Linked DNA regions of Saccharomyces cerevisiae S288C. Changing the gene in region 2 together with the main gene of any one other region gives a genetic interaction. Each region holds a gene or a part of one and is shown on either strand. Other genes may lie near its edges.

Region 1 (4,517 bases), on a different chromosome or scaffold from region 2:
CATCAGGAACTGATTTGAATAAGTCCAACCAGAACGTGTTCAATAATACCATTACGCATCCTAATGCTGGTCCTACAAGTGCCACATCGACATCTACATCATCTAACGGAAACACTCCTTTATCGAGTAACTCTTCGATGAATCCAAAGAGTTTGACAGACCCCAAGCTACTAAAAAATATACCCATGTGGTTAAAATCGTTAAGACTACACAAGTATTCAGATGCCTTAAGCGGAACCCCGTGGATCGAATTGATTTACTTAGATGACGAGACTTTAGAAAAAAAAGGCGTTCTTGCCTTGGGTGCAAGGAGAAAATTGTTGAAGGCTTTTGGAATCGTTATTGATTACAAAGAACGTGATTTAATTGATAGATCTGCTTATTAAATCTGGCATAATAAAGTTGATTGTCTTGACGTTGCATAAAGATTTAATTTTTATTTACTTTGCATATACCAACACAGGGAACATATTTCATTTATTTTGTAATTTTAACGTTTTCTTTTATGGAGTTTAATATTTTAGATTACACCTGTTTTTGCACCGTTTAATGGCATAAAACTATTTACTTAACTTTTAACTCGGGAAATATGTATCACTATACTAAAAAACATTAATTTAATCAAAGAAAAATAAATTTAATGTATGTATCTATATATATATATATATATCACTTAAAACAGACAATAGCCATAATCAACTGGGTTATTATTATACAATATTAAAGGAAGAACGCATATTTGAAAAAAAAATAAAATGGGTAATGAATTTTAGCACAAATACTTCACAAAAGGAAATATACTAGTAGTAAATGTATATATTTATATGTTTATACAATGAATGGTACAAGAAATTTTGATATTCTTGCTATTGTGGTTTCTTGTGTTTCATCCAGTATTCTTTATTGATTTTGACATTATCGCTTAAAAATTTTAATCCTGAGAATTTTTGACTTAATGCGTTGAAAAATACTTCAGCAAACGTATTAATGAAAAATATTTGACCGTTTGGAATATGCGGATGGTCTTTGATAATATCATCAGGGTCTGTTACGTTCACCAAAATATTTTGAATTGATTCCAAATCTTCTTTCGGAGAATCAACATTCTTGTATGAATCGCCAAAACAGTCTTGTTCTGGGCGGTGAGCTTTATGAAATGTTTCCAAAAGAGCGCAATCATTAAATTCGAGAGTAATGAGGTATGCCCAACGTGCTGATATTGACAAGGTTCTCGTCACATTAGAGATGTCTGCAGCTTTAATAATTAGAGATATCAAAGTGATTTGTTTCATTGGGTTTTCATGCATTAATCTATCCTCATACTGAGAATGCAATGCCATATCTGTGGCCAGAATAGCCTCGGAAATAAAATCAAATTTTTTTTTGGAGATAGATAGCAATTGAGGCCAATGCTCTGATAGCAATTGTTGAAATAATTCCCTGTGAAAATTCTCCAAGATAGAGACATTTTTGAAATTTTGAGCAACCTCTGATTCACAGTTGCACAATAGTTGATTGTTAGTCCCAGGATGACCGACATCATGACCTATGGCAGCCATACACAACAGTAATGTTTGTACAGGATTATCTTTAAGAAGATATGTACACAATCGCCATGTGGCTTGCATGACATCGATGGCATGCCTAAAATTGTGAAATTTGTTAACTTGATGATAGGATGATTCTAAAGTAAATAGTAGTAGCAGTAACTTATTATCTGCAATGAGTACTTTTGCATCCTTAGATAACTTTTTGATAAGCGTGAACCCGCACCAAATCAATTCTTGAGTGCTTAATGATAAAGCACAAAAGTCCCAAGTTGATAGAATGTTCCAATAATGTGATCCCTCTTGAGAAATTTTTTCTATTGGATCTGACAAAAAAGACATAAACTCGATGTTGCGAATTAGCCTTGGCACTGATGCCTTTCGTAAATGTTGTGCCTTGGAATCATTCAAATGCAATAATAAAGTGTAAATGTTTGCTTCACATGCTTGAGTGGGGACAGAATTCCCATTTACAGTACCATAGCTGTTTTTGTTAATACCGTCTGGAGTATCATCATGATGGTGATACATCCAGTGGTTAATTCTCGTTATTCTATTACGACAGATGCTATTTTCACGCTCAACACATTCAAGACGTTGCAGGTTTTCCTCTCGTGTATGATCTATCGCAGAAATATTGAAAGATGGGAAAAATCGCTTGAATAGAACATCCAATTGTCGCACAGATAATTGAAATTTTGAAGGGTCATAAAGAACTATAGATACGCCCGTTTCAAAGTTATGGACGTTTGGAAAAGGCGAAACTCTGTCCTTATACAATGCTACCATCAGAGAATCCAAATCTTGAAGCTCAATCACTCTATCAAAATAGTGTTCATTCTGTACAATTGTTTGAGATTTCTCAATCTCGTGTATTCCAATCAGAAAAAGGGTGGACATATCAATAGGTTATGTTTTCTTCAATTAAGTAGTAGTGATCTCAAAAAGAATGTCTGGATACTCTAATTAGTGGCTAATAAAGCGTCAGTGCAAAAGATAAAGAGGGACAACAAAATAATTTAAAAGAAAAACGCAAAATAGTCGGTAACTCGTGCTAAAACCAGTAACGACAGCTAATATCAGGAAGATCCCACTTTATCTCAAATTTGCGCTTTTTAGTCCAATCTCTCACAGTGACTATAGTTTTCAATTTGCAAGTATATTCTCTCTAAGCCAATTTTTCTTCTTTATAATGCCTAAAACAAAAAGAAAAGAGGAAAAATTGTGCCCAGTAAAAAGAAATTCTCGGAGAACAAAAAAAGAAAAGTGCAACTAGAAAAGGACGCAGGACCCTTTTATAATTTTGTACGAGGAGAGCGACCCCTGCAGATTACAAAGATAATAGAGCCTATTGTAGTATTTATGAATATTAGACTAATTCTCATACTTATACTAGATATTGTTGTTAGTTTACATACAAGCCCGTAAGTTCATGAAATTTATTCGACCTTTTCCTTTGTTTCTTCCAAAACTTCTTCAACTATCTCTTCGATGGTGGTAAAGTCATCGCTGGCATCTTCTGGTTGAACGTCAAAGATTTTGAAATTCATAGATTTTTCCATTTCTTGGCCAATTTTTTCTCTATATTCGGTCCATTGCTTCAATAATTCACGTTGGTGTAGAATCAAATCTCTCATGGCGGTGTCAGCTTCCATTGCATCTTGCTCTTCGAATTGGGCAGACCATTCCCTCAAGTTTTTCCTAACCTTTTTCCTTTCGGCGTTAGACAAAATGGAAGCTGGCCTTGGTCTCCAGGCAAAGTTCTTGAAGCCAGCAATGATGTCTTCTTTAACTAAGTTACCAGCAATATTGAAAATTTTGTAACCATGCTCCACCTTGTGTTTCAAAGAACTTGACCATGCGGTAACGTATCTACCAGATGGATCCCAAGTGATATTAGTAGCCGCAGAGTAGGTAGGATGAGCAACATCTTTCAAAGAAGCTGAAACATCATTATTGTCATTAATATTCTTTTCACCTGGATAGTCCATATCGTAAAATTGTAGGTCTGATCTACGCATGTTTGGACCCACTAAAGCACCTACAACCACAAATCTACCCGCTGGAGACCAAGAAACAGTGTTGGCAAAAGTTTTTGGAATTTCTTTGACCAAGCTCCATCTTTTAATTACGTCAGTCTTTTCTTTAGTTTCTGGAGCGTAAAATCTGATTGTATTTGCTGGGATAGCATAATTCATATCAGCTACTTCATGAACAGAAATTGTAACAAATCTATTTCCGTGGGGTTCCCAACCGAATTCAAAGACACTATCTTTCAATTCAACCTTTTCAACTGGTATATCTCTTTCAGTCAACCTACAAATTTGTAGATTACTGAATTGAGTCTTACCAGACTTTGTGTGACGTTCGACATTGAAGCACAGGAACTCAGCTTGGTTTTGCCAGTGCAGAGTTACGTTGGAGACTTGAACTAAGTTAACGGTTTTTAGCACTCTACCGCGAGGAACTTCAGCAATGGTAGCAGTACAAGCGGAATTATTAGTCTCAGGAGTCCAATAAGCCAATAAAACAGAAGGCTCGTCACCGTTTCTGAATGGTTGTAATTTAACACCTTCTGGAGCAAATGAGAAATCTCTAATACCAGAAGGCTTCAAAGCCTTAGCTTCTAATGGCATGAAGTTTTTAGTAGCATCGTGAACTATTAAACTGTCTCCAACCATACGAGCACAATATTTATCATTATAAGACCATCTAACTAAAGGCCATTTCAGATATGGGCTCTTTATCACTGGGAAAGTTGCCATCAACAGACCAGAAGCAATGTCCCAGATGCATAATTGATGACCCTCATTTTTCTTGGTAAATGGAGAGAATTCGTTATCTTCTTCTACAATGATTGGTTCCGTGGAGAAAGTGACCAGGTACTTTTCATTCGGAGAGACGGAAGAGTTTCTTACATCTGGATGATAGAATCTTCTCAAACGATCGAAGTTTGGACCACCCCATGCA
Region 2 (3,255 bases):
AAACTGCCCCGGCCTCTGATTTCTCTAAAGAAGCAGTGGAAGATGTTGTACAACAGCCATGTGGCGATGGAGTAAAGTATCTTCTTGGTAGCGCTAGGCTCTTGGTAGATGTATGCCTGATCAGCCGACGTCTTGACGCTTTTGGCCTCGATGGAACTGTAATTCGTAGTTTTCTGTGTGCTCTTGGAAGAGGCAAATTTCTCCGTGAGTTTTGGTGCAGGCATTTTTTTTTACCCCGATGTAAACGCCCCTGTGCTCTTTTTACTATATATTTAATTCCGGGCTTCCTACACTTAATTCACTCTGTTATGAACTACAAGCCATTACTAACATCAATCTTTCCGAATCATAAATAAACTGCAACTGGGAAAGAAGGCGGGCCTACTTTTCTTTTTCTTCATAGCGCGTAGGGCTTGGCAGCCATAGTTGTTGAGAGACCGATGGATGAGGGATTGAAAGAAGGGAGAAGAAGAATACTAAAAGAGGAATGTAGAGCCGGGTTACAGGAAAACTAACTTTTCACTCAGGGCGCCGCATCTTTTCCGCAGGCGCGCCATGAACTGGCCAGCACGTTCTACGGCGAAACCTTCGAACTGGAGGCGGCTCACACATAGTAGTAAGTTGCCGCGACAGGTGACCAAAATACAGTCTTTAATATCATCATATTTGAACATGCCCGGTTTACTGCCATTATCTAGACGTGCGTCTCTCATCACTTTACACTCATGAAACAATATTCGTTTTAATACTGAATTTTGAGCGTCCTTTCTTGCCGCTGTCGCTTCTTTGAACGCGTGCAGAGGACCGAGCGTTTCGAGTTTGTTAAGTAGTTCGGCGGCAGAATCGCGCGCCCAATGAATGCGTTTATCTTCTGTTGTTATACGGTGGGCGTAACTGGGTTTGTAAGCTGTTGGCGCTTGCACACGGTTCTGTGGTAGATATAACCTCTCACGAAGCGTTTGGCCCAAAAGTTGGGCGCCAAGGGCGCCCAACTGGTCCATCAGTATGGCAGTCCTCCGAGGCAGGCCCTCAGAATTAAAATCTGCCGTCGAATCATTGACTCTCCCTTTTGACAGCATTGTTGCGATCGCCAGTGGCTCCGTCTGCGCTACAATTGCACCATGGTCAAACCGATCCGGATGCAGTGTCTGTATAGTTACACCGGTGTAAGTGTCACCCTCGAGCAGAGCTCGCTGGATAGGTGCACTGCCTTTATGTCTGGGAAGTAGCGAAGGATGGACGTTTAGCGCCAATGGCACCGCGCGGATCAAGTCACCCGGAATGAGCTTCCCAAAAGAAACCGCAATGATCGCGTTGAACGGAGCACCGGAGCCGTCGTTCTCCGGATTTCCTTGGCGACTGGGTGTCAGTTTGCTTAGCGCCAACATTTCCTGCTTGGTGTCGCATGTAATTGGGCGTGGCAATTGAAGCTTCTCTGCCATATCGAAGATCGGCGGGTATTTCAAAATAGACTTCTGTCTACCGCACCACTTCGGCGACCTAGTTACTACTTGAATATTGTCCACTATACCACAGCTTCCATTATTTTGACGCAACTCATTGAGTGCTTGCAATGAGAAATTACTGAAAGTGTCGCTACCAAAGAAAAGCACATTCAAGGGCTGCACTGGTGGAGAAGCATTGTTTGAAATATATCTGCATGTGAATAGGAGGCGTGTAGGTGTTATTCTTCTCATTTTAACCATTTGTTTGATACGCCGTTTTCAATCTTCTCACTATGAGGTGCCTAGGTCCCCTTCCTTTTTTTTCTTACCTCTCTTTTTACGTTAATGAGAAAAGCGCTTACTCCTCTCCATAATAGCAGGTACAGCTTTTTTTGCTTTTTTCTTAATGGACGCTTCTTCCATTTGATATAAATATGGGTTACCCTGTGGGCATACGATAATTTTTATTCTCTCGATTAAGAAACCGAGATGAGCTTTCATATTAGTTTGGTAATGATATTGATGTGGCAAGTTGAAGTAAAGAGAGAAGGCGTTCTATGGGCTGAGCATGAGTGAGGGACAAATTCCAAGCTCAGATGTGTTAGGCTCGCAATTGGGTGTTGGTGTACAAGGCGCCAGTCTTTACTGTCCGCAAGAAAATTACACTACGAAGAAGCAAGAAAAGCCACAATGGCTAAGACCAGTAGATGATACATTGGCCGAGGATGCACTAGACCTTCATATAGTGGTCAAAAGTCTGCTTTGTGATACTGCCATAAGATATATTTCCGACGACAAGGTTTTGCAAGAATCAGATGCCGACGATGATCTCATAACTAGCGATATTGATGAAGATACGGACAATCAGGGGGATACATCTATAGTGGTCAATCCAGTGATACCCGTGGTACCGAAAGATGTCCATTTTTTTAAGAAAGTTGACGTTGGTAATGATTCTATGTTTGGTGTGAACTGCGATACGCCAGTTTCATTTCAAGATTACATTCCTTCAGATTTGCTGCGCAACTTAGATGATACATTACAAGAAAGTACTAACTCTTCGAGGCCGATGCAAGACGCCTTCTTTTGGGATCCTACTGTGGCTAATCGACTGGACTCTCAATATATTCAGACAGCATCAGATTTAAGAAATTATAGAGACGGAACCGAAATCATAGCATATGCCTCGGGTAAAACAGGCTCAGTCCTAAATATAGCAGTTCTGACACGACAAAATACATTGCATTTAAACCGACATAACAATGTAACGAGTATCGAATTGCATTCACCTATCAAGAGTATTAAGATACCGGGGGCCTCTGAGTCCATCGGGCGGAGATCAAACCTGGTGGGCATAATCACCGAAAATTCTTTCCAAATCTTTAGAATTGAAAGTGTCCACTCAAGATCATGTGATGTCATGGTTAGTAGTTCAGAACCACTGTATTTTGTTGAAATAGACGACCTTCAGGTGGTAGATTTTGCATTCAATCCTTGGGACTTACAACAATTCGCAATCATTGATATAAAAGGTAACTGGAGTATCGGGAGGATACCAAAGAATTTCAATAATAATAACAAAAGGAAACTACAGTTAATAGATAACCTCCACGGTACGATTTTTGATCCAGAAGAATTATCGTCATGGAAAAGAATAGAATGGTTTTCACACTTCCAAAAAATACTGGTCTTTGATAGGTCCAAAATGATTGAGATCGACTTTATGAACAATTGGCAAACGGAAGTAGTACAAGCGAAAGCATGGTCAAACATACGTGATTATAAGCGGATAGATGATAAAAATGGTATT
Region 3 (3,982 bases), on a different chromosome or scaffold from region 2:
ATTAGTGGTATACACTAGAAAGGATCTTATGCCCGGCAATAAGCCATATATAGGAAAGTTAAAGAATTGGCATGAAGAGCTGGGAGAAAAGTTTATTTTACTGGATTGCCGAAACAAAACTGACGTCAGGAATCTACTAAAAATACTAGAATGGCAAAATTACGAACTAGAAACAAATGGCGGATATCTACCTATGGGATACCGAGCATTGATTACTGGCATGCCAAATGTTGGAAAATCTACTTTAATAAATAGCTTGAGGACAATTTTTCACAATCAAGTGAATATGGGAAGAAAATTTAAGAAAGTAGCCAAAACTGGTGCAGAAGCTGGTGTTACTAGAGCCACAAGCGAGGTTATTAGAGTAACTTCACGGAATACGGAATCAAGAAATGAAATATACTTGATAGATACTCCAGGAATCGGTGTTCCCGGTCGCGTTTCAGATCATAATAGAATGCTAGGACTGGCGTTGTGTGGTAGTGTTAAAAATAACCTTGTAGATCCAATATTTCAAGCGGATTACCTTTTATACCTAATGAACTTGCAAAATTTGAACGATGGAAGAACAGAGCTTTACCCTGGAAGCACCAATTCTCCCACAAATGATATATATGATGTTTTAAGAAGGCTTCAAGTGAATAAAAGCCAAAATGAAAAATCAACGGCTATCGAGTGGACTAACAAATGGAGGTTGCATGGAAAGGGTATCATATTTGACCCTGAGGTACTGTTGAATAATGACGAGTTTTCTTATAAAAACTATGTAAATGATCAATTGGAAAAGTTAGGAGATCTTTCGTATGAGGGATTGTCTAACAAACTAAAAGGGAACCCCAATCAAGTATTCTAGTAAATAATATCCAGCATACATAAGCTTATCTAATAATTAGATCATTTTACAATGTGTACCGAGTAATACAAAGTTGAGGGGGGAAAAAGTGTTATAATGCTCAAAATACCTGTTCAAAGAAATCACCACCCAATTTCGGAAAGTCTTACTCCATTGGAAGCATGACTAATAGATTCGATTGATACACCACCCATTAACTCTCCTAAGTCACTAGATACTTCCAACAATTTGCTGGGATTGTCAAAGTGAGTGGTAGCCTCTACTACTGCAGTGGCCAACCTTACAGGATTAGATGATTTAAAAATTCCTGAGCCAACAAACACACCATCACAACCCAACTGCATTAACAATGCGGCATCGGCTGGCGTTGCTACACCACCTGCAGCAAAATTTACTACTGGCAACTTACCTTTTTCTAAAACATCTTTCAGCAAAGAAACTGGTACCCTCATTTCCTCAGCAACTTTTGCAATGTCATCTTCGCTCTTCAATTGTTGGCACGCCTTTATCTCCTCTGTAATTCTCCTTATATGCTTGACGGCTTCAGAGACATCGCCCGTTCCAGCTTCACCCTTGGTACGAATCATAGCGGCGCCTTCATTAATTCTTCTCAAAGCTTCACCTAAGTCTTTAGCGCCACAAACAAATGGAACTTTGAATTTGTCCTTTTCAATGTGGTGAGTCCAATCAGCAGGAGTCAAGACTTCACTTTCGTCAATATAGTCAACTTCCAATGCCTCAATAATTTGAGCTTCAACAAAATGGCCAATCCTTACCTTAGCCATGACGGGAATGGAAACGGAGTTCATGATGTCCTTAATCATCTTCGGATCTGACATGCGGCAAACCTTTCCTGACTTACGCATATCTGCTGGGATGGATTCTAATGCCATTACCGCACATGCACCAGATTTTTCAGCTATTTTTGCCTGCTCTGGAGTAACAACATCCATAATAACGCCACCTTTTAACATTTGGGCGAGACCACTCTTGATCTTAAAGTCTTCTCCAGTCATCGTGATAATTAACTGAATATTAGTACTGTGTATATTTGCTAGTCGTTCCTAAAGGTTTCTCCAACAATACCATAGACTTCGTCCATAGCTCTCAGCGTCCTCCTATTTATATCGAAAATGGTACTTCGCAGCCAGAATTACAGACGTAACTAACGGTGCGGCAGAGTGTGTCAGAGTCATGAAGAAATGGCGGCGCTACCTGAAAAGTAGTGAAAAAGCCCGGCTTTCAACCCTTACCCTTGTCGGCTGAGTCATTATGTCATGATGAGCTATTCCAACTAGTGCCATAAATTCCAACTGAGTCAGTAAACGGCATTTATCAGCAATAACTGGTCACGAACTCTTTGAATGTTTTATTCTTTCTTCCAAAAATCACGTTGATGCCACCAGGTTTTTTTTTCTTATTATTTCATTTCGTTAAATAGAAAGAAAAACCATATCTTAAAGTATGCACAAAACCCACAGTACAATGTCCGGAAAGTCGATGAAAGTAATTGGGGTTTTGGCGTTGCAAGGTGCCTTTTTGGAGCATACCAACCATTTAAAAAGGTGTTTGGCTGAAAACGACTACGGAATAAAGATAGAAATCAAAACTGTAAAAACTCCTGAGGATCTAGCCCAGTGCGACGCCTTAATTATTCCCGGAGGAGAATCTACGTCGATGTCCCTCATCGCTCAAAGAACAGGCTTATATCCTTGTTTATACGAATTTGTTCATAATCCGGAAAAGGTAGTTTGGGGTACTTGTGCTGGTCTCATCTTTTTAAGCGCGCAATTAGAAAACGAAAGTGCCCTAGTAAAGACTTTAGGTGTGTTGAAGGTCGACGTGAGAAGAAACGCATTTGGAAGACAAGCTCAATCTTTTACACAAAAGTGTGATTTTTCCAATTTCATACCTGGCTGTGATAATTTTCCTGCTACATTTATTCGCGCACCCGTGATCGAGAGAATTCTTGATCCTATCGCGGTTAAAAGTTTATATGAATTGCCAGTGAATGGAAAGGATGTGGTTGTAGCTGCAACGCAAAATCATAATATCCTTGTGACTTCTTTTCATCCAGAGCTTGCTGACAGTGATACAAGATTTCATGATTGGTTTATCAGACAGTTTGTTTCTAATTAAAATACCGCCGGTTTTCCACATTTTTATATTACCAAAACCTGAGAGATTTTTTCACATCGATAAATCTCTACTCGTTTACTATCGAACAATGCTCTAGGTACGATGATATTGTTAAAAACTTCAGATACATTTTGTAGCTTGATATGGTTCAAAGTCCGAAAAGATAGCCAAACTATTGCTTGACATCGAAGGTATGTTATTTGATTAATTTCACTTTTGTCAAGCTCTTTTATTCTTGTGTGTCGTAAATTAAAAAATTTTGTGAATTTACTATCATCTTCCTTTATGTACAACGATTTAAAAGTTCTCTTATCGACTTTTAGTTCCTTTAGTATATTTTCCTCGATGTTCCACCACTTGATTTTACTTACACGTTTCATTGTCAGAGATTTAAAATTTTTGGGAAAGACAATGCTATTCAGGTCGATGTAAGCTACTCTACTTAATACAAGCTTTTGCAAGTTGTCCCATCTTGTAAAGTCAGCTAGTCCGGTTCTGGAAATTTGATTCATGCGTGATAGGCGTATTTCATTTATCCTACGTTTCACTATGTAACTAATCGTTTTACCAGGATTGTCTCTGAACCCATGAAAATTTATTAGCAACTCATATAATTTCTCTCCTCTCACAGTGATCTTCCGCAGGCTCTTCATGGATTCCATACTTCTTATTGTTCTTATAACAGAAATACTTGTTAGTTGGTTGTGCGTTGCTCCCACATTGCCATTATCTGAATGTGATCTTTTGGATGCTGACCTTTTCTTGTTTTTAATTGTGGAGCTAGGTGAGGAGTTTTCGTCAGAATTAGCTCCACTAACATCAACATCTTTCTCTTCTCCTACTTCTTCATCTTGTCCAAATTGTACCTCCCCGATTGTTGCGAATAAATCTTTCTGTTCTAAAATTGATAAGCATTTGTCTACTAGTTGTGGAGTTAGATTATCAATGTTGAATTGAATATTACTTACATTAAGTAAGTCAAGCTCGTCA
Region 4 (3,212 bases), on a different chromosome or scaffold from region 2:
GCTCAGTTGGGAGAGCGCCAGACTGAAGAAAAAACTTTGGTCAAGATATCTGGAGGTCCTGTGTTCGATCCACAGAGTTCGCATTTTTATTTTTTCCCAGTGACGCAATTTTTGGATTGTTAATAATAGCGTCGTTACGTCACATATGGTCAGTATGATCACTTTAGAAGTAAGGAGAACTACCTAAGGGGTTTTAGATCACATTTTAACTTGCTTACTGAAATATTTACACGATTCTAAGCCTGTATAAAATTCATTGGTATGAATAAATATGTTAACTTTTACTTACAGGAGGTACTGGCTCAAGTTCTTTTTTAGATGCCATATCGTCTTTTTTTTCGAATGATTCCATTCTCTTTCTAATACTTGATTGCAAGTATTTTTCTACAAACCCAAGCTCGTCTTTCTTTTTCACATCACCTTTTCTCTTTGCAACGATACACCAAGTAGTGCCTAAGTGAGTCCGTTTTTCTTCCACCAATTCTAGGTCAGAATCATCTAACACTTCGCCTAAGTCGAGATTCCATCGACAGCCCCAAGTATTCAGTCTTCTTTCAGCTCTGTTGTCTAATATCTTATTTATAAAATCGTATTGACCTCTACCATGTTCCAGTAAAATAATTCTTCCATCTGGCTTTAATAACTTGCCAAAATTATTAAGTGCCTTAACCGGATCTTCATGGGAACACAAACCAAACGCCTCCACGATAGTATCATATTTTACTTGGTTTTCCTTTTCATTCTCTAGAGAGGGCTTACCTTTCTCTGCTAAGTCTACTAGATTTTCCGCCTTTCCAACAACAAATGCAACTTTTTTATACTTAGGAAACTTTTCTCGGAATTTTTTATGTGTAATTTCCATCATATTTTCAGAAGAGTCTAAGAATGTTATAGAGTTGATGCGTGACATATCAAGGTACTTGATATTTCTTCCTGTACCGCATGAAACTTCCAAAACATCCCCTTGACAATGTTTCATTAACCATTTCCTTCTTTTACCGAGAAATATTACTCTCTCTTCCATATTAATTGCCTTATCATATTCGTTAGCTTTTTCTTGGTAAAAGTTTGTTGTGTCTCTTGCTGGCAATATTTGTTCATTCAATTTGTTTTGATCAAAATTCTGTACCCGAATATCATCGAAGTTTTCAATGCCTTCTTCTTGCATTTTTTTGTATTCTTCTAATTTCAATTCATCTCTCCTCCTTAGTTTTCCTTTCAATTCTTTAATCCTTAATGCTTCGTATTCATTGGCATTCCCTTCTTCTTGTTTCTTCAACAATCTTTCCAGTTCTTTGTCTTTCGCAAACAGTTTTTTGGTAAAGAAGAGACCATAGATTAAAAATATCACATAAGCACCGATCATGTACTTGGTCATTCCCTTTGAAAACTTTTCTGATCTCGCAATAGCTCCCCACCTCACAAATCTATTAGGTGACCTCAGTTGTTCTTCGAACCTCTCTTTGGCCAATTCTTCTTTTGTTTTTTGCTTACGAATGACTCTATTGCTATTCATTTGGAAAACATTTTTAAGCTTTTTTTTACTTTTATCATCATCAATGTGGCTGCTGTTATATTTATAAGATGTAAAAGATAATGATCGCCTTTGTGATTCCAACAAAAGACTCCTGGATGCCGGTTGTCGAATGTGATGTAAAAGGCACGTAGGAAAGCGACGAAATACGATCATCCTCACTTACTTATGGTTTTCTTGTTCGTTCCTCAGTGGTTTATTTATCGAAGATATTTTCACAAGGTACTTTTTTGATGCGGTCCCATTTAGGGTTTCCAAAATTAATTCGAACCGTGATATGCTACCAGTCGAAAATTGTCAGAGATAAGTTCCTTTTTTGAAAAGAAAGATCGATGCAAGTCATCGGACGTGGTGGGGCAAATATACTGATTGATTATGGGGATCCTACGTGGTTGTGGCGATGCTGCATCCGTTGGCCCGATCTGTTATCATCAAATAATTCTTATACAATCAAAAACATCAGTTATATTAAAGATTATGTAGAACCTCTTCTACATGGCTTGCTTTGCCCGATGTATCTGATTGACGTCGATATAGAAGCTATAAGGCCAATTCTCAGTGACTTTATTCTAAATTTAGACGATAAGGTAGTCAAAGTTATCAAAATTAAAAATCTCACCAATAATACCTCAAATCTGATATTAAATAACCACTTTTTAAAATCTTATTGTTCACAAAATCTGCAAACAGTTATTTTAGAATTGAAGCCTAAATGGTTATACTATGATACAGATTACTGTAGGAACTGTACTCATAATGCATTTAAGGGTAGAGGCACTAAGTACTGTTACAATCAATTACTAATGAATCCAGCACACTTGGAATTAATATTTGGAGAATGTAATATATTTCCGGTTAAGTTTAAAGATGCCATGCATGAGTACTTGCGCAATGACAATAACATTTTCAAGATCCTTTATGATTTACAGAAAAAACTTACAAAGAACACAACTCCAATAAGTGACATAAAATCAATCAACGATGTAAACGATGAGCATCTGCTACTCATGACACTCAGAGACGTGACATGTTTCATTGAATGGAACAGTGCTGAAAATGCGTTGCACGTGAATATAATAGATGTAGATCTAAAGCCAAAAGAAAAATGGACCCATTGGACAAAAACTTACAGCCAGTTGACATCAAGCCAAAAAATTTATCATACTTCAAATAAATAAACTGTATACTTTTCTTTCCACCTTTGGTACTGGCAGATGCACATACATTACCATTTGTAAAATATATGGATAGATAAGTATTTTTTTTTTCTAGTGGCCCTCTGGAAAATGTAAATAATAAAACGGAAAACACACAAGCCAGGGTGAATGACCAAATTCGATATTCAACGAAGGGTCAAACCTTGAAACCTAGCATACATGAGTTTAAGGAATAGTGAGAAGAAAAGTAATGGCCAAGAGACTGTTAGAATCAAGCCAAAATGATCAGGCCAATCGAAAAAACTCAAAGATTGAGAAGAAAGAAGTATCGTTTTATGAGGAGGAAGAAACAGATGATTCTTTTGATAGTTTTTACCAGGATGAAGAAGATGATTTAAGTGATATTGATTGGGAAGAAGTTTCTTTAGATGGAAGCTTAACTGTCACATTTGGCAATATACGCAGAGACAGGGAGAAAGTCAGCAAGTACAAAAGAAAGCATAATAAAAAAGCATTCAATT

What was found.
Region 1: mutations in FMT1 (region 2) and PDE2 together harm fitness more than expected from each alone (negative genetic interaction), as found in Saccharomyces cerevisiae (3 studies listed by BioGRID).
Region 3: mutations in FMT1 (region 2) and SNZ1 together harm fitness less than expected from each alone (positive genetic interaction), as found in Saccharomyces cerevisiae (2 studies listed by BioGRID).
Region 4: mutations in FMT1 (region 2) and IPK1 together harm fitness more than expected from each alone (negative genetic interaction), as found in Saccharomyces cerevisiae (3 studies listed by BioGRID).

Annotation. Positions count from the first base shown.
Region 1 is NC_001147.6:1,012,375-1,016,891, forward strand, and holds PDE2 (3',5'-cyclic-nucleotide phosphodiesterase PDE2), read right to left. Parts: upstream 2,448-4,517; coding exon 867-2,447; downstream 1-866. Other genes in the region: VTS1 (Vts1p), read left to right, coding at 1-386; PRT1 (translation initiation factor eIF3 core subunit b), read right to left, coding at 2,987-4,517. UniProt on the Saccharomyces cerevisiae protein: Controls the level of cAMP in yeast cells, together with the low-affinity cAMP phosphodiesterase (PDE1).
Region 2 is NC_001134.8:200,507-203,761, reverse strand, and holds FMT1 (methionyl-tRNA formyltransferase), read right to left. Parts: upstream 1,707-3,255; coding exon 501-1,706; downstream 1-500. Other genes in the region: bifunctional glycerol-3-phosphate/glycerone-phosphate O-acyltransferase SCT1, read right to left, coding at 1-224; RRN6 (Rrn6p), read left to right, coding at 2,014-3,255. UniProt on the Saccharomyces cerevisiae protein: Formylates methionyl-tRNA in mitochondria and the cytoplasm. Responsible for the formylation of the 8 N-terminally formylated (Nt-formylated) mitochondrial matrix proteins that are encoded by mitochondrial DNA.
Region 3 is NC_001145.3:456,295-460,276, reverse strand, and holds SNZ1 (pyridoxine biosynthesis protein SNZ1), read right to left. Parts: upstream 1,870-3,982; coding exon 976-1,869; downstream 1-975. Other genes in the region: putative GTPase MTG1, read left to right, coding at 1-853; SNO1 (putative pyridoxal 5'-phosphate synthase), read left to right, coding at 2,318-2,992; CTF13 (Ctf13p), read right to left, coding at 3,016-3,982. UniProt on the Saccharomyces cerevisiae protein: Catalyzes the formation of pyridoxal 5'-phosphate from ribose 5-phosphate (RBP), glyceraldehyde 3-phosphate (G3P) and ammonia. The ammonia is provided by a SNO isoform.
Region 4 is NC_001136.10:1,092,241-1,095,452, reverse strand, and holds IPK1 (inositol pentakisphosphate 2-kinase), read left to right. Parts: upstream 1-1,866; coding exon 1,867-2,712; downstream 2,713-3,212. Other genes in the region: OMS1 (putative RNA methyltransferase), read right to left, coding at 275-1,690; RAD34 (Rad34p), read left to right, coding at 2,942-3,212. UniProt on the Saccharomyces cerevisiae protein: Has kinase activity and phosphorylates inositol-1,3,4,5,6-pentakisphosphate (Ins(1,3,4,5,6)P5) to produce 1,2,3,4,5,6-hexakisphosphate (InsP6), also known as phytate.